Struthio camelus: one gene and its partners. The protein of the gene in region 1 purifies or fractionates together with the protein of each later gene. This does not show direct contact. Links are inferred from orthologs where the notes say so. Each region holds a gene or a part of one and is shown in the gene's direction. Other genes may lie near its edges. The genes, in order: SUV39H1, SETDB1 and EHMT1.

Region 1 (7,425 bases):
TGGAGGGGGCGCCGTGGGGCAAAGAGCCACGGGGAAGGAGGAGCCGTGGGGTGGCCATGGGGGGGATGTTGTGGGGCAGCCGTGGGGCGCTGACCTCCTCTGCCCCCCATCACAGAGCGCCGCGGGAGTCTGCCCCGGCCCCCTGCATCTGCCGGGGATGGCTGTGGTGAGTGACTGCCCCATAGCAGGGGCTCCGCTGCCCCACAGCGGGGTCCCTGCCCCATAATGGAATGTCCCTGCCCTATAAGGGGATCCTTGATGCCCCATAGCAAGTGGTTCCTGCCCCATAGTGGGGTCTCTCCTACCCTATAGTGGGTTTGCCTGCCCCATAGCACAGTCCCTGCCTCATAGCAGTGTTCTAGCCCCCTAGCAGGGTCCCCTCTGCCCCATAGTGGGTTCCCCTGCACCATAGCCAGTCTCTACTGCCCCAAAGGGAGTCCCCCTGCCCCATAGTGGCCGCCAAGCCCCATAGCGGCCCCCGCCCCACACACATGCCCCCGCAGCCCCCCCAGTGCCGGCTGTGCCCATTGCCAACCCCGACATCACGGCGAGCCGCTACCGGGGGCTGCCCAGCCCCACGGCTGGCCCCACAGCGGGCCCCACAGCAGGCCCCACAGCCACTGACCGCAAGCGGGGTCGCAAGAAGATCTCCAAGGCTGACATCGGGGCACCCTCCGGCTTCAAGTAGGTCTGGGATGTGTGGGGCTGGGGGGATGTGTGGGGTGGGGAGATGTGTGGGGCAGGGGGACGTGTGGGGCTGGGGGGGACGTGAGGGGCAGGGTACATATGGGGCAGGGCTCGGCCATGGGTCCAGCCCTCCTGCTATGGGGCAACCCCTCATATCACCACCCCCCACCAGGCACGTGGGTCACATCGGATGGGACCCCAACAGCGGCTTCAACGTACGTCACCCCATAGGGGCTGTGACCCTCAGGCCTTATGGGTGGAAGAACCCTGTGGGCCCCATAGGGGGGATGGACCCCCCCAAGCTCTATAGGGGAGAGACCCCCTGGGCTGTATAGGAGAAACACCTCCCTCCCATGGGCACTAGAGCTCCCCTGCAGAGGCTATAGGCCCCACACCCCTCTAGGTGGCAGCTATGTGCCCCACACTGCCCCGGGGTGGGTGCTATAGGGCCTGTACCCCCTTAGGTGGGTGCTATAGGGGTCATAACCCCCCAGGGCAAGTGCTATAGGGCCCGTACCCCCCCCCCGGGGCTGGCATTATAGAGGTCATACCCCCTGAGCCAGGCTCTATAGAGGTCATACCCCCTGGGGTGGGGTTTATAGGTTCCATATCCCCTGGGGTGGGTGCTATAGGTCCCATATCCCCTGGGGAGGTCCTATAGGGGTCCTATCCCCTGGGGCAGGCACTATAGGTCCCATATCCCCTGGGAAGATCCTGTGGGGTCCCCCCCCAGGGTGGGTGCTATAGGTCCCATACCCTCTGGGGAGGTCCTATAGGGGTCCTATCCCCTGGGGCAGGTGCTATAGGTCCCATATCCCCTGTGGTGGGTGCTATAGGTCCCATAGCCCCCTGGGGAGGTCCTGTGGGGTCCCACCCCCCCAGGGTGGGTGCTATACACCCCACGCCCCCAGGGCGGGGCGGGCAGCACGGCCCCATACCCGCGGGGAGGGCGGCGGGTGGTGCCAGCAGCCCTACGGAGGCCGTAGGTGCCGGGCCGCAGGTGCAGGAGCTGGACCCAGACTTGCGGGCGCTGTTCGCCCGGGCCGGCATCAGCGAGGCGCAGCTGGCCGACGCCGAGACCTCGCGCCTCATCTACGACTTCATCGAGGGCCAGGGCGGCCTGCAGGCCGTCAAGGAGGAGATGCGCCGCCACGGTGAGCCCCCCAGCGGCCGCGCAGCGCTCCCTGCGCCCCCGGGCCCGAGGGGCTCCGCCGCCCCGATGACGGCAGCCACCTGTCTCCTCCGGGGTAGGCCCCTCAGGCCCCGCTGTAAGACCCGTACGACCCTCGCCGTAGGGTCCGTAGTCCCCCAGATAGGCCCCATGCCCCCCCGTTAAAGCATCCATACCCTCCCCATTATAGGGTCCATACCCCTTCCTGTTATAGGGCCCTTATGCCCCATTATAGGGTCCATGGGCCTCCGTTATAGGGTCCATACCTCCTCCGTTATAGGCTCCCTATGCCCCGTTATAGGCCCCACCCCCTCCATTATAGGCTCCATACCTCCTCCGTTATAGGCTCCCTATGCCCCGTTATAGGCCCCACCCCCCCGTTATAGGCTCCATGCCTCCTCCGTTATAGGCTCCCTATGCCCCATTATAGGCCCCACCCCCCCGTTATAGGCTCCATACCTCCTCCGTTATAGGCTCCCTATGCCCCGTTATAGGCCCCACCCCCCCCCATTATAGGCTCCCTATGCCCTGTTACAGGCCCCATGCCCCACCATTATAGGCCCCATACCCCCCTAGGTGCCACGTGCCCCCCCAGCCCTAGGGGCGTGGCCCCGGGGGCGGGGCTCCCGCCGGGCGCTGACGCCTCTCTCCCCTCCCCCAGGGCCGCCGCCCCCCCCGGGCCGCGCCGCCGCCGCGCCGCCGCCACCGCCCCCCGCGGCCGGCCCCGCCCCCCGCGGCCGCCAGGGGCCGCTGCCGCCGCCGCCGCCCGGGGCGCCGCCGCCGGCCCCGCCGCCGCCGCGCGGGGCCCCGCCCCCTGCCCCGCCCCCTGCCGCCGGCCCGCCCCCTGCGCGCGGGAGCCCCGCCCCCCCGGCGCGCGGCGGAGCCCCCCCACCCCCCCCGCCGCCGCCGCCGCCGCCGCCGCCGGCTGCTGGCGCCACCGCCGGTGCCCCCGCCGCGGGGCCCCCCCAGGGCCGCGGGGCCCTCCTGGACCAGATCCGGCAGGGCGTGCAGCTCAACAAGGTCGGGGGGCACGGGGCTGGGGGACGATGTGGAGCAGGTCGCCATGGGGCGGGGGACAGTGTGGAGTAGGGTGTCATGGGGCAGGGGACGGTGTGGGGCAGGGGACGGTGTGGGGTGGGTTGCCGTGGGGCGGGGGGAGGTGTGGAGCAGGTTGCCATGGGGCAGGGGATGGTGTGGAGTAGGGTGTCATGGGGCAGGGGACGGTGTGGGGTGGGTTGCCGTGGGGCGGGGGGAGGTGTGGAGCAGGTTGCCATGGGGCAGGGGATGGTGTGGAGTAGGGTGTCATGGGGCAGGGGACGGTGTGGGGCAGGTTGTCGTGGGGCAGGGGGAGGTGTGGAGCAGGTTGCCATGGGGCAGAGGACAGCGTGGGGCAGGTTACTGTGGGGCAGGTTGCCATGGGGTGGAGGACAGCGTGGGGCAGGTTACTGTGGGGTGGGGGGAGAGGTTTTGGGCAGGGGACACTGTGGGGTAGGTTGCGTGGGACAGGTAACAGTGTGGAGCAGCGTTCTGTGGGGTAGCCCTGACTCTGTTCCCTTTCCCTACCTGCAGACCCCTGAGGCCCCTGAGGCGGGTGCCGTGGGGCAGCCTCCCGAGGGGCTGGTGGGGGCCCTCATGCAGGTCATGCAGAAGCGCAGCAAGGCCATCCACTCATCCGGTGAGCTGGGGGGCTGCCGCCCCACACGCAGGGGGCCACCCCACATGTGAAGGGCACCCCCTGCGCTGTTCCCCCCTCCAAACCCTGCTCACCCCCTGCTTCCTCCCCCCCAGACGAGGCCGAGGACGCCGAGGAGGACGAGGACGACGAGTGGGATGACTGAGCCCCGTGGCGCTGGCCCATGGAGCCCCCGTGTTTGTGTGTCCCCCCCGCCCTGTAGCACCCCCTCTTTCCCACAGTGCTTTGCTTTGCGGGCCTGGTCCGGTACGACCTCGCTTACCCCCCCCACCTGCCCCATAGCGCCCCACACATGGGGTTTATGCGGGCCACCCCATGGCGGAGGCCGAGCGCCGTGTTGGCGTGAACGAGACCTGGGGGACTGTGGATAACGTCTCCTTCCCCCGCACTTTTTTTTTTGGGGGGGGGGGCTTCATTTGTGCAAGCTGCTAAGGAATAAACCAGCACCGCACCACCTCGTTTGCTCGAGCTGCTAACGAACGAAGCCGTTGCCTCGAGGTGAGCGGGGCCGCTTGGCGGCACCCCCCCACACCACGTGGCCCCAGCCACCAGCAAGCACGGCCATGCTTCACAAACAACGTGTTACAAAGATTAATGAATGAGATTAATTAATTAACGGCTACGTGTGATTGCTACGTTCCATCACTCTGAGGCTTTGTGGGGCGGGGGTGGGGGGGAATATCCCGCTTTCCGCCCCGAGGCGAGAAGGCGGAGGCAGGGCACGAGCCCTGGGTGTGCCCAGGGCGGGGGAAAAGAAGCGGAAATTGGTTAAAAAAAAAAAAAAAAGCGGCCCTGGCGTGGGCGGTGACACCGGGAAGGAGCGCGGGGGCTGCTGGGTATATGCAAATAAGGCGGGCGGGCGCTGCCAATCGGAGGGAGGGGGCGGGGCCGCGCGGTGCGGCGGCCGCGCGGTGCCTGTCGGGGGGGGAGGGGGGAGGAAAAAAAAAGATGGCGGAAAATTTAAAAGGTGAGCGCGGGGCGCGGGAGGGCGGCGGTCGTTTAACGGCCGCGCGCGGCGGTTTAACGGTCGCGGGGCGCGCGCGCGGGCCGCGTTCGAACGCCCCCCCGCCCCCCCACACCTGGCGCGCTGCGCGACCGTTGAACAGCCGCGCGCTGTGAGGGGGGAGGCGCCTTTTCCCGCCTTTTCTGAGGGGGGCAGCGCGCGCGCGGCGGGTATAAAAGGGGGCGCGGGGGGCGGGGGAGGGGCAGTGCGTGAGGGGGCGCGGGGCGCGCTGAGGCGGCTCCTCCGCCGGCGGGGGGTGCGGGGGCGCCCGGTGCTTCGGGGGGGTGGGGAGGCTATCCCCACGCCTGTGGGGCTGGCACGGAACCGGGGGGCTTCCACGCGCGTGGGCGCCGCGCCACCCTCGACCTCAGACGCGTGTGGCAGGTAGGTCCCGTGGGGCGTCCAGGCAGCGGTGGGTGGGGCCCACGCGCGTTGGTGAAGGTGCCCCCGCCCCCCGGTGCCCCGCAGGCTGCTCCGTGTGCTGCAAGTCGTCCTGGGCGCAGCTGCAGGACCTGTGCCGCCTGGAGCGGCTGCGGTGCCGGGCGCTAGGCGTCACCCGCCGCAACCTGGCCCACTTCGAGGTGGAGTACCTGTGCGACTACAAGAGAGTGGGGGTGAGTGCACGCCTGGACACCTGGGTCCCTCGCAGAGGTGGGGAGCACGGACGCCTGGGTCCCCAGAGCATTGGGCCCTTGGACGCCTGGGTGACCCGTGCCTCCAGGAAGGCCCTGGACTGGGTCCCTCGTGGGTCCAGGAGGGGCCGGGAAGGCCCTGGATACCTCGGTCCCCAATGACTCTCAGGAGAGCTGGGAAGGTCCCGGGCACCTGGGTCCTCTGGGATCCTGAGGCTCAGCATGGCCCCAGGTGTCCGGGCCTGCAGTGACATGGTCTCCCTGCCACACAGGCCGAGGAGTTCTACCTGGTGAAGTGGCGGGGCTACCCCGAGGCAGCCAACACCTGGGAGCCCCGCAAGAACCTGCGCTGCCGGGGGCTGCTCAAGCAGCTGCACCAGGACCTGGCGCGTGCCCCGGGAGGGCCGGCCCGGCCTGGCCCACGGGGCCTGCCTGCCCGCGCCTCCTCCTACCTGGTGCAGAAAGCAGAGCAGCGGCGGGCCCTGCGCCGCTGGGAGCGCCACCTCAACACCAAGCGCCGCCACCGGGGCCGTATCGCTGTGGAGAACGAGGTGGACCTGCACGGCCCGCCCCGGGACTTCATCTACATCAATGAGTACAAGGTGGGGGCCGGCATCACCCTCAGCCCCGTGGCCGTGGGCTGCGAGTGCCGTGACTGCCTGGCCGAGGCGGCTGGCGGTTGCTGCCCCGGCGCCTCGCGCAACAAATTCGCCTACAACGAGGCCGGGCAAGTGCGCATCCGGGCTGGGCTGCCCATCTACGAGTGCAACTCGCGGTGCCGCTGCGGGGCCGAGTGCCCCAACCGCGTGGTGCAGAAGGGCATTCGCTACGACCTCTGCATCTTCCGCACTGGCAATGGCCGGGGCTGGGGCGTCCGCACCCTCGAGCGCATCCGCAAGAACAGCTTTGTCATGGAGTACGTGGGTGAGGTGAGCGCTGTGCCACCGCGGGGGCGGGGACACATGGGGTGGCATTGCTGCAGCTGCCCTGTGTCACTGTGCAGACGCAGGAGGGCACTGCTGTGCGCCTATATTGCCATGGTGTGAGCCCTGGGGACATGGGAGGGGATGTGGAGACACAGGAGGTCATTGCTGTGTCCCTGTATCACCCTGGCGTGAGCCATGGGGACACAGAAGGGGATGTGGGGACACAGGAGGTCATTGCTGTGTCCCTGTATCACCCTGGCGTGAGCCGTGGGGACATGGGAGGGGTCATGGGGACACGTGAGGTCATTGCTGTGTCCCTGTATCACCCTGGCATGAGCTCACCCCCGTGCGCCCCCCCGGCCCCCAGATCATCACGTCGGAGGAGGCGGAGCGGCGGGGGCAGGTCTATGACCGCCAGGGAGCCACCTACCTCTTCGACCTGGACTACGTGGAGGACGTCTACACTGTGGACGCTGCCCGCTATGGCAACATCTCCCACTTTGTCAACCACAGTGTGAGTGGGGGCGGGGCTAAACGCTCAGGGGTGGGGCCCGGTGTGCCAGGCCTGCCAGGTGCCCTGGGGGTGTTGCTGCAGCTTGGGGGGGGGGGTCGGTGCTTGTGGGTGGAGCCAGGCAGTGCTGAGGAGGAGGAGCCTGTGCTGGGGGTGTGGCCTAACACCTTCCTCCTGCCCCTGCAGTGTGACCCCAACCTGCAGGTGTACAATGTCTTCATCGACAACCTGGACGAGCGGCTGCCACGCATTGCCCTCTTCGCCACCCGGCCCATCCGTGCCGGCGAGGAGCTCACCTTCGACTACAACATGCACGGTGAGCCCCGCCCCCGGGCCAGCCCCTGGGCGGGGGGGGGGGGGGCAGCTGGGTGTACCACTGCCAAAGAGATGGGGGGGGAGGGCAGCTGGGCCGTACCACAGCCATAGAGATTGGGGGTAGGTGGGCCATACCACGGCCATAGAGACAGGGGGGTGTTGGATTGTACCACAGCACTTCCCATCCGCTGACACACCCCTTGTGCCCCATCCCCCCCGGCAGTGGACCCAGTGGATGCCGAGAGCACGCGGATGGACTCCAACTTCGGGCTGGCTGGGGGCCTGGGCGGTTCCCCCCGGGCCCGGGGCCGCATCGAGTGCAAGTGTGGGGCCGCCACCTGCCGCAAGTACCTCTTCTAGCCCCCCCCCCCCCCCCGGCACGCACGCAGGCAGCCGACACGCGCACATGGGTGCAAAACACGCTCTGTTTGCCAAGCTGGGGGGCTCCGTGCCGTGCAGGGGCAGGGGGCACTAGGCGTGCTGGCGG
Region 2 (7,288 bases), on another chromosome or scaffold:
ATTTCCAGCTTCCTCCAGGCAGAGGATCACCCCTTTGTTACTGACTTGAGAGAGCAAGAGTTGAAAGGATATTCTGCTTTCTTCTGACAGGCACGCACCAGCTATTCTGCTCAGCAGTTTAAAAACAGGTGGAGGTAAGATTTGTAAAAGTCCCTTTCAAAACACCAAGCCAATTCAAATAAACCTCAAGGAAACATATAGCAAAAAAGACCGAAAAAACAACATAAGCCATTAGGGATAACAAATGCAAGTGAGTCCCACCAGGCCTCCCTCCCTGCCAGAGGAGCTATGAGAGAAACCAGACCCCAGCACCATGTACGCGGATGAGGCATGCGCATGGCCCACGCCAGCCGTTCAAGCTAAGGGAGCAACAACAGGCACAAACATCTTTCTCTCCAACACGCTAGCTCACACACCATCTTCTTCTCTCCCCCAGCACCTCCAGCTCACTTTCCTCTTCCAAAACAACCTGCCGTTCAGCATAGTGCCCCCTTTCCAAGTTTCCCCCATTCAACAATCCCTCCACCACCCCACTTCTCCAAGCCCTTCCCGAGCACCCCAAGCCTCCCCCTGAGCTGGGTCCCTCAGCATCCTTTCCCCACCCCAACTCCCTCATCTGCTCTCCCAGGGCCACCCCATCAAGTCCTCCTGACATCCCTCCCCCACACCTCCTGACACTGTACCCCAAATGACACCCCTTATCCCAGCCCAGCACACCCAAATGGCCCCCCAACCCAGCACTCAGGCCCTGCAGCTCAGCCTAGACCTCTATAATTTCCAGTCCCTAGAGATAACCCCCCTTCACCCCCCTAAAGGCTCCCCTCACCCAACACCCAAGCCCCTTAGCTCAGCCCAGGCCCCTAAACCTCCCAGCCCCCAGAGAACACCCCTTCCTCCTCCCAAAGGCCCCTGACCAAGGCTCCCGTCCCCTCAGCCCTGCTCCCCCAACCCTCCTCACCCAGGCGACACCCTTGGGCCCCCCTAACCACCCGCCGGGACCTGGTCCACCCTAGTCCCCTCGCAACGACCCCTCTGGCCTGGCCCAGCCCCTCTTAACAGCCCCATTAGTCCAGCCCCTGCCAAAGCCCTCGGGCCCACCCAGCCCCTCTCAGTGGCTCTTTCGGCCCCGCACCCCTCAGCAGCGCCCTGCGCGACCCCCTTCGGCCTGGCCTGGCCCTGCCCTTCTACGGCCCGGTCCCCCAGCCCCCCACGCCCCCCTCAGAGCTCCTGAGCCCTGTCGCCCCCGCAGCTTGCTTCCGCGCCCCCCGCAAGCCATCTAGCGCAGCAGCTCCAGCTCACCCGGGTTGGCGGCGGTGGCTGCCATAACCGGGGCGGGCGGGCGGGCGGGCAGACTCCCCCCCCCCCTCCCCTCCTCCCTCCTCACCGCCGCCACTGCCAAGATGGCGGCGCAGGAAAACCCGGGGCGCTGCGGCGCAGCCTAGCCTGCCCGTCCAGAGGGGCGGGGCGGAGACGAGGCGGAGCATCCCCATTGGCCTAGACAGGGCTGAGGGGTGGGAGCAAAGAGGCAGGCAGCACAGCCTCTGCCAGCAGGGTAGGGTGACCCCAGGCATGTCCCGCCCCCTTCGCGGGGCGGGGGCGTGGCCAAAGCGGGGGTGTGTGGAGTGGGGGGGGCCAGTGGGAGACTTAAAGGGCGGTTTCGGTGACGTTCTATGTTGCTTTTTTTTTTTTTTTTTTTTTGTCGGAGGACAGGAACCCTATGGGGATTGGGACTGGGACTGAAAATGGACATGGAATTAGGATTTTGACTAGCATTGGGTTTGGACTCGGGCTGGGGATGGGATTGAGTTTAGGGATGGGGTTTGAATTTGGGATTGGCGGACTGGGACTGGGATTGGGGTCGGGCTGTGGCAGGAAAGTGGTAAAGTGGTTAATTATAGCCAATTTTCATAGCACACGCTGGGCCTGGCCCTCCAGAAGCCCCCGTGAGTGGGGCCGGATGGTGGCAGGGGCCAGCTGGGGTCCCCCCGCCTCTCCCCAGCATGGGAGGGGGTTCCTGGCTGTAAACGGGCTCATTCGGTTCGCTTCCCGGCGCGGCGCCCTCCTCGTGCGCTGCCCTTCGTCCCGCTGGCAGAAACCTGACAAATTATGCAAGGGGGGGGGCCATCGCCTGGCCTGACCCTGCAGAGCCCTTGGGGGGCCACAGGCCCTGAAAGGGTCACCCTTGGCTCCATTGGTGGGTGCTGAGGGTGCTCAGCACCCAGCCGGGACACCTGCCGCCCATGAGCTCTCACCCACAGCGCAAAGGAGCCGCTGGAAAAACTTTCAGCCTGAGCGGGCGATAATTTAATCTGCGAGATCGTTTCTCCTGGTTACTGCGAGTGCCTGAAAGGCGACGCCGCCGTGTTCCTGCAGTATTCATGAACCCCCGGGGATGGTGCCATGGCCCCAAAGCGGCACCGAGCAGGGCAGAGTGGCCAGTCCGTCTGTCCGCCCGCCTGCCAGGAGGTAAGGAACAGCCCCAGATGGCATGTCTGGGGCTGCTAGGGACGGGATCGATGGGTGCTACGGGACTTTGCGGGTCCTATTTCAGCATGTGCCGTCATTGGGGCTGAGCTCATTTGATCCTGGTGCATATGGCACTTTAATACGTATATATAGGCATATACATATATATATCGGCATAGATGTACATGCAGCTCAGGCCGCAGGGCTGTGCCTGACGGCCTTGCCAAGCCTCTACCTCTGCCCCTACCTCGTGCAAATCTGTCTGTCCGCCAGCATCTCTCTTAAGCAACCTGGAGACCCTCCACTGTCGCCACTTTTGGCTTTTCCCAGCCTCCACGGGCACCTGTCGCGTTTCCAATCTGAGCCATCACTTTGCGAAGGTTCAACTGAGCCCTGGCATGCTCAGTGCACCTAATGCTTCCGGGGGTCCTGCTGCTCTGGGGCAAAGTGGCTGTGGAAAAAAAAAAAAAAAAAACCAATAGCGGGGATGTTTTAAAGCTGGGCCAAACCGAGCCGGGTGATGCTGGGGCCGACAGCCCAGGGCCAGGGACTACGCACCTGAGGGCTGCCTGCATGGAGCCTGGCCCAGCCACCAGCCCTCCAGCCCTCGACGTGGACAAGGGCATCACCGTGGCCTTCGTGGTGCTCATGTGCCTCTTCCTGCTGGCCATGGCAGTGCGGTGCGCCCGGCTCGTGGTGGACCCCTACAGCGCCATCCCCACCGCCACCTGGGAGGAGGAACAGGTCAACTGAGCCCCACGGGGCCCGCTGGCACCCTCAGGGCTCCCCAGGGCTCCTGGCACCCCAGAACCCTCCAGCACCTGAGGCAACCCCAACACCTCCATCGCTTCACGGCCCCCCAGCACTCCCCAGTCACCCCAGGGCTCCTGGCACCCCAGGACCCTCCAGCACCTGAGGCAACCCCAACACCTCCATCGCTTCACGGCCCCCCAGCACTCCCCAGTCACCCCAGGGCTCCTGGCACCCCAGGACCCTCCAGCACCTGAGGCAACCCCAACACCTCCATCGCTTCACGGCCCCCCAGCACTCCCCAGTCACCCCAGGGCTCCTGGCACCCCAGGACCCTCCAGCACCTGAGGCAACCCCAACACCTCCATCGCTTCACGGCCCCCCCAGCACTCCCCAGTCACCCCGGGGCTCCTGGCACCCCAGGACCCTCCAGCACCTGAGGCAACCCCAACACCTCCATCGCTTCACGGCCCCCCAGCACTCCCCAGTCACCCCAGGGCTCCTGGCACCCCAGGACCCTCCAGCACCTGAGGCAACCCCAACACCTCCATCGCTTCACGGCCCCCCCAGCACTCCCCAGTCACCCCGGGGCTCCTGGCACCCCAGGACCCTCCAGCACCTGAGGCAACCCCAACACCTCCATCGCTTCACGGCCCCCCCAGCACTCCCCAGTCACCCCAGGGCCACCCGTTACCCACAGGACCCCCCAGCACTCCCCATCACCCCAGGGCCCCCTCCTTATACCCAGGACCCCTTACTGCCCCCAGCACCCTCCATCTCCCCAGGGCCCCCCCATTACCCCCGGGATCCCCTATTGCCCCAGGACCCTCCATCTCTCCAGCACCCCAGGGCTCGGGCTCCAGCAGGGGGGCGCTACCCCTTTAAAAGCGCCCTGCTTCTTTGCGCATGCGCTCTGGCCTGCCCGCAAGTCCCGGGCTGGCGAGCGGCGGTCCGCCTCATGCGCATGCGCACTATCGTGTCTCTGCGCCGTGCCGGCCAGAGGGGGAGAATTGGGCTCCTTGGGCTGCCGTTACCGGAAGTGACGCCAGTGACTTCCGGCTCCCCCCCCCACCGCCTGCTCTCTAGTAATCGGGGTCGCGGCCGGCCCCGGGCCTTAGGGGTGAGGTGAGTGTGGCTGGCCCGGGGGGGGTGGGCCTGGGAGCGAGGAGGGGCTGTGAGGCGGGGGGCATCGGGGAGAGGGGGTCTAGGGGTGAGGAGGGGGCTGTGGGGCGGGGGGCATCAGGATGAGGTCTGTTGTGGGGCTGTTGGGGGCAAGGAAGGGGCTGTGGGGCAGGTAGTGCTGGAGTGGGGTTTGTGAGGCGATATTGGGAGTAAAGGGGCGCTATGGGGCAGGGGGAATCTGGGTGGGGGGTCCTAGGGGTGGTGATGGGGTTATTGGGGGCAAGGCGGGAGCTGTGGGGCAGAGGGTATTGATGTGGGAGGGATATTGGGGGTAAGGAGGCTGTAGGACTTGGGCTGTTGGGATAAAGGTTACTGGTGGTGCTGGTGCTTTTGGAGGCAAGGAGGGGGCTGTGGGGCAGGGGTTATTGGCATAGGGGATGTTGGGAGGTTGTGAGGGGATACAGAGGGTAATGGGGGCTGTGGGGCAGGGGAAATCTGACTGAGAGGTGCTGAGGCTGTGGAGGGATGTTGGGGTCGAGGAGATGGCTGTAGGGCAGGGGGTATTGGAGTGAGGGTATTATGGGACTGGGGGGGATATTGAGTGGTAAGGAAAGGGCTGTGGGACAGGAGGATATTGGTGTGAGAGGTGGCGTGGGACTGAGAAGATGTTTGGAGTGAGGAGAGGGTTTGAGAGGCAGTGGAACAAGAGATGGAGAGTACTGGGTGGGGGCGTAGGGGGTCTGTGGGGTAGGGGGTATCAACGGCTGGGAGTTGATAGGTGGTTGTGGGCATAGGGGAGCTGTGGGGTGAGAGAGTGTTAGGGTGAGGGCTGTGAGGCAGGATGTGTTGGCAGCTGAGGGACTGATGGAGGCTTGGGGCGGAGGAGGGCTGTGGAGGTATTGGGATGGGGGGCTGTGGGGAGGAGGAGCAGGGTATTGGGATGGGGTGCAGCTGGGGGCTGTTGGGCAGGGAGCTAGCTATGAGGAGGGCACTGGGGTGAAGATGGGGCCAGTGAGGGGGGTTGGGGAAATGGGGGGCTGTGGGGAAATTGGAGGTTTTTGGGGTGGTGGGAGTGGAGCTGGGAGGTGTGGGGGGTGGGGGAGAGGTATATGGGGCTTGCATCTGGGGATGGCCTGGGAGCAGCTGGGAGAGAAATGCTGTGGGGGAGAGAAATCTGGATGGGGCTGGAGCAGGGCAATGGGAGAGAGGGGGGAGGCCTGGGATGGGAGGTGGCATGGGGGAGCAGGAGAGTGAGGGAGGCTGGAGATAAGTATTTGCTTGGATGCAGACAGGGAGAGTGCAGGGAGAGATGAGAGAGGGGCTGCTGGCAGGAGAGCGGACTTGAATATAGAGGAGACTGCTCGCTTTATCGCCAGGCACAGAGCGAAGGGGGCCACAGGCTGCACACCTGGAGAGGGGAAGCCGCTGGGGCCCTCCCTGGGGCTGGGGATGGATGTTATAATGCTCTTTACATACCCTAGGAAGGAGAGGGATGGAGCTGTTCTGGGCTGCTGCTTGAAGGCGAAGCTGTAGCACAGACTGGGAGAGGTGTCTGCTTGGTTTTTCCAGGCCAGGCAGAGGTGTCCGAGAGTTGGGAACGCTTCGCAGGTGTTGTGGAGAAGAGGGTTAGCGTAAGGGTCTGGTATTCAGCAGGATCCATGCAGGGATCAGAGAAAATACTTTCTGCTTGTCCTAGGAGCCTTCAGCTCCGTGGGTCATTTGCACTTTGGTTATTTTTGGCTCTCTGTAATGCTGTCTTAACAGAATATATAACATAATCTTCCAGATCAGCTCTTAAAAGTGGAGGCTGTGATAGAGCCATAGAATCTTGCTGGGCTTTTCTCAGCTCCTTGTGGCTTCAGGTGCAGCAGAAATGGATTCCCAGGAGATCAAAGAGCTACAACAAGAAGTTATGGAGGAGCTAGGTATCTCCATGGAGGAGCTCCAGGACATCATTGACGAAGAGCTGGAGAAGTTTGAGTGTGTGAAGCAGAGGAAGCAGCAGCTGGAGGAGCTGGAGAAGTGCGTGAAGCAGAAGGAAGAGGAGGTGGCTCACGTCGACCGGCTCTTTGATGATGCTTCAAGGTGGGCGCACTTGGAATTGTGGCTGTGTGTCCAAGTCAGGCCTTGAAGGAGCAGAGGAGATCAGATGGCAGGGTCCAGTGTTTTGAGCACTGCCTGTTTCCCGTCCGTGTGCACTGATGCTGCAGTTCTTCGTCAGCTCACTTGTATGAGGTTCTTGAGGAACAGTTAAAATTATTCCTCATCCTGTGGCTTCGAATTCTTCGCACAAATACTCTTTCCTCACCTACCAATGGTTATATTTAATTAGCAGGTCTCCAGCAGCACCTGTTTGTTTCTGTGTTATTGTGGGATGTACAGCTGGGTTCACCTTGTCTTTTCCTGTCTCTGCTCCTCTTTTTTTTTTTTTCCCCAGAGCCATTGATAAATGTGAGATATTAGTAAAAGATCTGTACTCCAAGCTGGGCCTCCAGTATCGTGAGAGCAGTTCTGAGGACGAGGACTTGGCTGCTAAGGCCACAGAAGTGATCGAGATCCCAGATGAGGACGATGATGATGTCATGAGCATTGACTCGGGCTGGAAGCACAGTTCAGTATCCCGTTATGCTGCGTGGTGCTGAGGGGAGGGATGGACATACGAGCGTGTCCTGGAGGAGGAAGGGAATGAGTAGGGATCAGGGTGAAGATGTTGTAAAGTAGCCCATAAGCACTGTTGGTCCTTAAGCACAAGAGGATCAGAGAGGAAATGCCCTTGGCTTGTGCGAGGAACATCACCTCTTGCGTGGTCTGTCTGGGCCTGTAACTATTCCATGGCTCTTGAGTTAAGGTTTGTTCAGGTGCCGAGCTGGGACCTTTCCCTTTTTCTGTCTGCCTGATCGTTGTCCCGTCAAATGCTGCTTTTGCTCTGGGGAAGCTGCCTGTATGGCAG
Region 3 (7,563 bases), on another chromosome or scaffold:
AACTGTGATATTTGATACGCGAGTTCATGATTTTGGGAGAAGTATAAAAGCATCATGAAATTTTGATTCTCTTCAAATGAAGAACTTGTTTACAGGAGGAATGTTTGTAATGGTTAAAAGAAAAATTTAGGTGTGAGGTCAAAGAACAGGGAAACGTTGGAACACGTGAGATTCGTAGGCAGAAGCTGAAATGGTCTCCAGTGTTTCGGTGAAGTGTTGCAGCAGAAGTGAGACAGCATGTAAGCAGCCATTTTTACTGCCTGCTTTCCTGGCAGAAGACTACTAAAAAGCAGTCTAAAGGCTTTGCGTGACGCGCTGAAATGCTGCCGATTCCCACCCCATCGACCATTCCAGAATAAAGCAATAAAACATTTGTGTGTGGAGCAAATTGCTAGTGTGGTTAAAGCAATAAGCTTCATCCCTGTTTTCGAAGATGGGGTATGCACGTGATGTGTTTAGTGCCCTTCTCAAGTCAGGCTGTAAGTGTATGGTAGAAGCTCTTAATATATGGTAGCTGAATGAAGGGGAGAAATGGCGTTTTTAGCTTTCCAAAATAGAAAGAGCCGTGGTTACTCTAAGTTAAAGCTGAAGGAGTTTATAATTGGGAACTGTTAGGAATACAGTATGCTCTGAATTACAGCTGTCTGTCCAATATGACTCTAAATAAAGTTCTAGGATTGCCCTGTAAATGAAATACTCAACATGCATTCTTATCAAAACATGGCAACATCTTCCAGAGAGCTTACATCTCAACATCTGTCACAACAGCATCAGTTTTTTTGGTTTTGGGGTTTGTGTGTGTGTGTGTGTGTGTGTGTGTATGTGTGTATGTGTGTATTTGTGATGTACTCAACACAGTGTCCCCGGGAACATTTTATGTTTCCTATTCACTAAAAGCAGTTTTAAGCTTTGCTGAGGAAACGGGGGGAGGGAGGGAAGTGGCTTGAAAACTTTGGAGAGAAAAAAGGAGGTTTCAAAAGGTGAAGAAAGCTGTAATTCCAGAAGCGCGCGTCCATGACTGACCGCTCCTTCAGAACTGTTACCTGAGCCTGTGAGGGGCGAAGCGGACGTTTCGGCTCGCCCTCTCTCGGAGGAGGAGGCGGAGGACGCTCAGAGTATCCCAGGACTGGGTGTTCGGCTTAGGATGCGTTCAGAGTCATCTTTGAGAAGGGAAGGAGGCGTTCTGAGAGCCTGCAGCCGAGCTGAGGAGTAGCTCTTAGCGATGGCAAAGCGAACCGGCTTTCCGGCAGAAGCGCTCGTGTTTGTGCTGGAAGCCGCTTTACCTGCGACGGCCCGGCCTGGCCTGTCGTGCTGTTGTGAGCGCTTCAGAGGAGCCTTGACAGGGAGCCTCGGCTTGGCGCGACTGTACGGGCTGAAGCGAGAGCTTGACGGAAATCAGAGAAAAGTCCTGTATTTTGGAGAGCTAAATACTGTTCTTCCTATAGAAGACAGATCTCCCCTTCCCTCCCACTTTGCCTCTCTGTGAGGAGGGAGCTGTGAAAATGACATGTGTAATGGTGTAATTAAGCAAAAGCCCTTAGGAGCCCCGTGTCCTTTGTGAAGGAAGGTTGTTGTTCTGCTGTCTTCCTCTTTAAATAAAAAGTGAGATTTTTAAAAGGCTGTTCAAGCCTCGAATCATGGAACTGAGGCCAGAGAGCCCAGAGCTTAAAATTATCCTGTAGTTTTATGGGCCCCGGTAGAACACTTTTTTTTTTTTAAAAAAAAAAAAAAAAGGCGACTGCCAGACAGTCCGCAGCAGAGACGATTCGATGGTGAGATTGCTAGAGAGTTAAATAAAACCTTCATGAGGTAGAGGCCCGTTGTAATTTTACTCAACTGCGAAGGAAAGAAAATCCACCTCAGCCATTTTGGAGAAGGATTTCACTTTCCCGGAGCGGGGAATCAGTTCAGCTTGGTGCTGTGTAGGTGAAGTCCCAGAGCAGTTAGATCGTTCAACCCTCCTAATCCCTCCGCTTGCGGCTTCGCGCTGCCGGTGCACGTGCGGGAGGCAGGGGCAGAAGAGGGAGGGCTCCTTCTCGCGTCCTGCGCCCCTGCCCCCGCAGTGCCCGGCCTCCACAAAATGGCTGCAGGGCGGCGAGGAAATGGCGGCCCTGGCACAGCCTCCCTGGGCCCTGGGTGGCAGAGGGAGCCCAGCAGTGCGGGCTGCCCCGTGCTGGGCCTGGAGGAGGCCCAGTGGGGAGGTGGGAGCTGGTGAGGCCGGCCTCGGGCGCGGGGTGGTGGTGGTGGGGGGGGGCCTTGGCCACCCCAGGCACGTGGTGGGGCCGCTTCAGGACACGGCCGCTGAGTGGCGGCGCGATGCCGTGGGCAGCATGTGTAATGCTGCAGAGGCTGTCTGGAAGCTTCTGTTTCTTTTTGGATGCCATAAATTTAAGAGCTCGGCTGTTTTTCCTCAGTAATAGCACACAAGCAGCCTCCGCTCCTCCAGAGCGTCGCTGTGCGGAGCTCCTGTAGGGCGCTGATCAATCGCTTTGCTCGAGTTGATTGTGGAGGCATCCACGATATCCTGCCTTTTTTTTTTTTCTTTTTAACCAGTGTTTAGTGCTTTCCAAGATGAAAAACGTCTCTAGCAGCTTCTGCTCGCAGTGTATTTTCACCCTCACCAGTAAAAGCATTTTTCCAGGGTTGACATGCTGCATTTATGAGTGAACCCCGTGGCGTGGGTTTGGATCATCATTATATCTCGGTCTGAAAATGGGCGTGGACCACATGAGTTCAGTGACTCAGCGTTTGTTAGTATCTTTGTTTCTGTACTTTTAGTGAAAGTTTAGTAACTTCATGCTGCCCAAGGCGGGTAACACTTCAGCTGGTTTAAAGCCCTCTTTGGTTTGAGCCACAGTGATACAGTGGATGATACAACTTCTGCCAATGTAGTCAGGTTTTGTTGTTTTCATTTTGGGCTTTTTGGCTTTGTCTTAAATGAGTTACCTCTACAACTTTTGGTGATTGATGCAAAGGCCAAAAAAAATCTCGTTATCTATATTATTACTTAGATTGACATCAAGCAAAAAAACCAGTGGGTGGCAGAGAGATCCTGGCTTTATTCTGTCACCTTGGATATTCATCCTTTATGAATTTTAGTCATGTCAATTCAGCCTTGTGTGTTTTAACTGTTTAATAGTGAAACTCCTCCAAAGCGTTTAGAGGCAAACAATGTCGTTTTAGCGGAGGCAGCCCCATGGACGGTTCTTTTGCTCTTTTAACTATTGCCACTTTGCAAACGTGCATCGACGTGGTGGTGAAATAAATACTTGGTCTGTAGGAAACGTGGCTTGTTGGCGTTTCTGGTGTGTGATAATGTGACAGCGTGGCACGCTCTTGCGGTGCTTTAGTAAAGGAGAGGAGGGGATGGGTAGAGAGAAGGCTTCATACTTGTGCTGAAGCCTTGAATTTTGAGTGCCTGCTTTCGTGCAACGTGTAAGGCAAATAAAATCATTGGGCTCCTCAAAACCTCACTATGGATTTTTCTGGGTTCCCCCCCCCCCAACGGCGCAGGCTGTTCCTTTTCCCTCCCCCTCCTCCTTCTCCTCTCGGTCCATTGTGAGGCAACACACGGAGCCAGTGTTCGTTTTAACGTTTCAGCTTCAGGAGAATTGTCTTCCCCACTCCTATTTTATGGAAAATTGTTTTTTGCTTTGGTCAAGAACAGGCGGGTGGGACTACAGCCCATTTCAGATTTCCTCTTCCTTCTTCCCTCTTCTCTTCTCCTCTGTTCTCTGCTCCCCTCCCCCTTCTCCTGGGGGAGGTTCTCCAGAGAAATATTAAACACGGAGAAACCCTCGGACTTTTGCATTGTGATAAATGTCATTTGTGCATTTGAATCCGTTCCAGCTGATCTCTGCTTACAGATGTTCCTGCAAGTTGCTCAGGCAGTTTTACTGGGAGCTTTAGCAGATATGAAGGTTGCCAAGAGTTTGTGCTTAATTGTCAAATTGAACAGAGACAAACTACTTTTATTTTGAAGCTAAAATTTCTTCTTTGCTCTTGCTGGCTGGGCCAGCTGTATCATATGGTTTGACATAGGCTGAGCTGAGAGCTACTGCACCTAGTAGTGTACTATCAGTTCTTTTTTTTTTTCTTTTTAATAATTGTATTTGTGATATGCTTTTAAGGTTGGTTATACCAGGTCATGTTATACTTTAAGTCCCTGAAGTGAAAAATAGCACCCCTTCAGCTCAGCATATCGGATCTCAAATTCACTTTCAGTTGGACACTGTACACTTAACCAGTTTAACCCGTATGCTTTTATCCCACTATTCAAAGGTCGGGCGCTTTATTAAGCAAAATATAATTAGTGCAGGGGTGTCCTCAAACTTCGATGCTATTGTGCAGCATCTCTCTCTTTTTCTTTCCCCTTTTCTTTTTTTTTGTAGGCAAGGGCTACTCTTGGAGGCCACTGAAACAGAACACATTATTACATGGTTTTAAAAGGCTTTTGCAGGCTACTGATCAGTTTTAGGCCTGGCACTAGGTCAGACCGTTGACAGATTATCTTTATTAACTGTGCGTTGCACCAGGAGGACCGAGTATCCCTGCGATGCCTTAGATAATAGTTGCTCCAATGGAAGCCCTTAAGCCTGCAGGTTCTCTGTGAAATGGCTGCAGCTTGGAGTGAACAGTGAAATGGTCTCCACTGGGCATGCTCACTCTGTAGAGGGAGCTTTTATCACATGAGCAGAAACTGAATCACTGTTCATGAGGATCTGGAATATGCAACTCTTTGAGTCTTCATCAAAAGAAGACCACAGATGTCTGCAGGTACAGTAACTTGTAGTGTCCATGTTCCATATGTCATAAATAGCAGATTCCCTCAGGTTGTGGCCGCAGACAGACTGTTGTCAGGTAGGAAAGGAGAAACCTCTGAGAGGAGGAAGACAGTTCAGATAATCATGGCTGGATTTTTTTATTTATTTTTTGCCCTATGCAAGAGAGAACAGCACAGCAGAAATGTGGGTATTGCATATTGATGCAGCATGCAGGGTAGTGTGCTGGGGCGTCTTTTGAAGAAGCGATTTACAGAATAACCTGGACAGGCGCAGTTGCTTTTCAGACTTTGACTTCTGATCTTTTGTGTTGCTATTAGTGTTACTTTGTTTTGCTCAATGGACTTGTATATAGTTCTGAATCTGAAATTACCTGTCTCTGGGGAAGTTTAGGCTTATTTCCACGCATTAAGTCAGTCTTTTATTTGTCTTCTGTGTTGGGGAGGGTGTGGAGGTTTGTCTGGATTTTTTATTTTTTTACCTTTTTTTTTTTTTTTTAAAGCATGAAGTCTTTTGAATATTTGGGTCTACCAGGAGCCCTCCCTGCTTCCGTTTCTTATAAGCAAGAAGAGAAAACCCTGGGGTCTTTAAACTGTTTGAAGACTTGAACTTTCAAAGGGAAGGAGAGGGCCTGTGGACACATTTCACTTGCTTGCTAGAAACAATTTTGACAGCCTTCGGTTATGTCAAGCAAGCCTACAGTTTAGTTTTTAGGGTGGAAGGAAGAGCGAGCATGATTTCATCAGGAAGAAAGGATCTTTTTGGGGGGGGTGGTGGTTTTGATTTTTTGGCCGTTTGTTTGTTTGTTTGATGGGGGCTTTATTTATTTATTTTCTAAGTAGCCTGCAATCCAAGAGAGCAGCTGATTAAAATGAAACGTCCGTGGTTGATTTCATGGCAGAAGGCCCATGTCAGCAGTTTGTTTAAAAGGTTGCCTAAAATTCATACCCCTGGCCCTGCCATGTGTTTTTTGTTTTGTTTTTTGTTTTGTTTTTTAAGTTGTTTGTGTTATATGCACACACAGCTGTGTTGCCTGCTACAGCGACCGGTCTGACTTGGAGCATACACCCTGTTCTTGACCTCCGCTGTTGTCTCTTAAGGATTGCAGGTTCCCAGAGCTGGGGGTGATCCTGGCACCCTCTGCCAGCCTGCAAAACACTGGCCCCAAACCCTGTCGCTTGCTGGGTTTGAGGAAGGCCCTTAAAACTTCCATATGTACCTACGTATTAAATTTTTAAATGACCAGTGAAATGTGAAGATAGCCTTTAAAGGGCTAGAGAGCTTACAGGACGGTCTGTGATATCTAATCTAAATATCTGTCATGTCTGCAGGAGACTATAGATACGCTAATTATTTGTCATCTAGTAAATGCATATTAAAGGCAAATAACATCAAAAGAAGTCATAAGGAGATGAAGTAGTTTATTTTTTAAAAGTGAAGAGCAGAGGCCTTGAAATATTACTGGATGAGCTCCTATCCAGGAAAAAATGTGTGTGGGGTTTGCTGAAGGCTAAGCAAACAAGCAACCCCCTAAAATGCTGAGGCAACACTTAGGGGTGCTAACAAGTGCATGTACGTAATATGGTGACCATGATGAGGCTTGTGTGATAGCCTGCCTAAAACACTACATAGTCACTTATTGCTGCCTGAAATTCCTTCCGAGAGCGTTGGCAAAATGATGCTGAAACGCCTGACCTACTTTTTGGAGGGAAGAGGCAAGCGTAAGGTTTGAAATTCCATGTTGCTTTTCAGCAGGGGTTAATAGTCCTAAATGTGGGCTTTTGGGTCTTATTTTTTTTCCTTCGCGTACTAAACTGACTTTTATGTTACTTTAACTCCAGTGCTAAACAGCTTCAGCCAGCCAGTGAAAATAATTGTGAGTATTTACTAGCCCAGGCAGACGCTTTCGTCGCCTGTCCTTGGCAGTCGCGTGTGAAAAAAAGCAATGCTGTTGTACTTCCCTTCAAAAGCTATTCTTCCTCTTCCCAAGCAAACGATGGGCTAGCGAACGGCCCCTCAGAGCCGTGTACCTCGCTGTTGTGTCTTGTTCATGACAGAGGGAGGTTGCTGGTGTGTGGGACATGTTTTAGGACCCCTCACGGGCTTTAAAAATCGCCCGGGCCCCCTGTTAACAGAAGCGCTGGCCATTGCAGCTCATGCTGGCTTGCAGCTAGGCATGTGAGCGGTGGTTATTGCTGCTAATGAGGCCCCCAGCTTATAAAAACAAGCCGTCTGCTGGCTCCCCGGCCTAGTAACGAGGAGGCTGGGCTGTCACGGCGCCGGATCGGGCCCGCCGCGCGAGATCCCGTTTTGCATCCGGGTGTCCGGCCGAGCGGCAGCGCTGGGGCCGTGGCTGCCTTGCAGTGTTAGTACTTTTCCTCCTTCTCCCGGCGTTTGAAAGTGTATCTCGTTACGCTGGTATGCCGCAGGAGTGCCAATGCCAGTGTGACCTCTCCCGTGTGGTGCCATCTCCTAGTGAAAAAGGATCATGTGCTTTTTTTTTTGTACAATGGCAGGGAACTATTTCATTCAGGTAAACAAGGACATTTAAGGAGCTTCGCTATCATGGCCAGCTGGTGTGGATGTTTGGGGGAGGGATGATTTGATTCCTGGTGCTTTTTTTGTTGTTGTTGCTCGTCTCTCTCTCTTTTTTTTTTTTTCCCCCTTCCTTAAAATATTCTTTCTCCTTTTCCTGTTCCTGGATCTTAGAGAGGTCAAGGAATCACTGCAGAGACTTCTGACCACCTGGACTGAGGGAATTATCTTGCCTTTCGATTCAGGC

The links.
Region 2: the proteins of SUV39H1 (region 1) and SETDB1 purify together in Homo sapiens (affinity purification with mass spectrometry; 3 studies listed by BioGRID and IntAct, counting the BioPlex papers as one, with this or other methods). This does not show direct contact. The link is inferred for Struthio camelus from reciprocal best matches to the Homo sapiens genes SUV39H1 and SETDB1.
Region 3: the proteins of SUV39H1 (region 1) and EHMT1 purify together in Homo sapiens (co-immunoprecipitation; 3 studies listed by BioGRID and IntAct, with this or other methods). This does not show direct contact. The link is inferred for Struthio camelus from reciprocal best matches to the Homo sapiens genes SUV39H1 and EHMT1.

The regions. Positions count from the first base shown.
Region 1 is NC_090979.1:349,798-357,222, forward strand, and holds SUV39H1 (histone-lysine N-methyltransferase SUV39H1), read left to right. Parts: upstream 1-4,415; 5' UTR 4,416-4,499; coding exon 4,500-4,518; intron 4,519-5,022; coding exon 5,023-5,168; intron 5,169-5,458; coding exon 5,459-6,115; intron 6,116-6,479; coding exon 6,480-6,626; intron 6,627-6,809; coding exon 6,810-6,939; intron 6,940-7,161; coding exon 7,162-7,298; 3' UTR 7,299-7,375; downstream 7,376-7,425. Other genes in the region: actin nucleation-promoting factor WAS, read left to right, coding at 116-166, 504-684, 860-902, 1,688-1,841, 2,520-2,565, 2,716-2,878, 3,428-3,533, 3,647-3,696; WDR13 (WD repeat-containing protein 13), read right to left, coding at 7,410-7,425. UniProt on the Homo sapiens protein: Histone methyltransferase that specifically trimethylates 'Lys-9' of histone H3 using monomethylated H3 'Lys-9' as substrate. Also weakly methylates histone H1 (in vitro).
Region 2 is NC_090971.1:2,523,186-2,530,473, reverse strand, and holds the start of SETDB1 (histone-lysine N-methyltransferase SETDB1), read left to right. Parts: upstream 1-4,211; 5' UTR 4,212-4,341; intron 4,342-6,124; exon of another isoform or gene 6,125-6,200; 5' UTR 6,201-6,211; coding exon 6,212-6,423; intron 6,424-6,775; coding exon 6,776-6,948; intron 6,949-7,288. Other genes in the region: ARNT (aryl hydrocarbon receptor nuclear translocator), read right to left, coding at 417-510. UniProt on the Homo sapiens protein: Histone methyltransferase that specifically trimethylates 'Lys-9' of histone H3. H3 'Lys-9' trimethylation represents a specific tag for epigenetic transcriptional repression by recruiting HP1 (CBX1, CBX3 and/or CBX5) proteins to methylated histones.
Region 3 is NC_090961.1:11,457,392-11,464,954, reverse strand, and holds the start of EHMT1 (histone-lysine N-methyltransferase EHMT1), read left to right. Parts: upstream 1-4,554; 5' UTR 4,555-4,713; coding exon 4,714-4,776; intron 4,777-7,563. UniProt on the Homo sapiens protein: Histone methyltransferase that specifically mono- and dimethylates 'Lys-9' of histone H3 (H3K9me1 and H3K9me2, respectively) in euchromatin.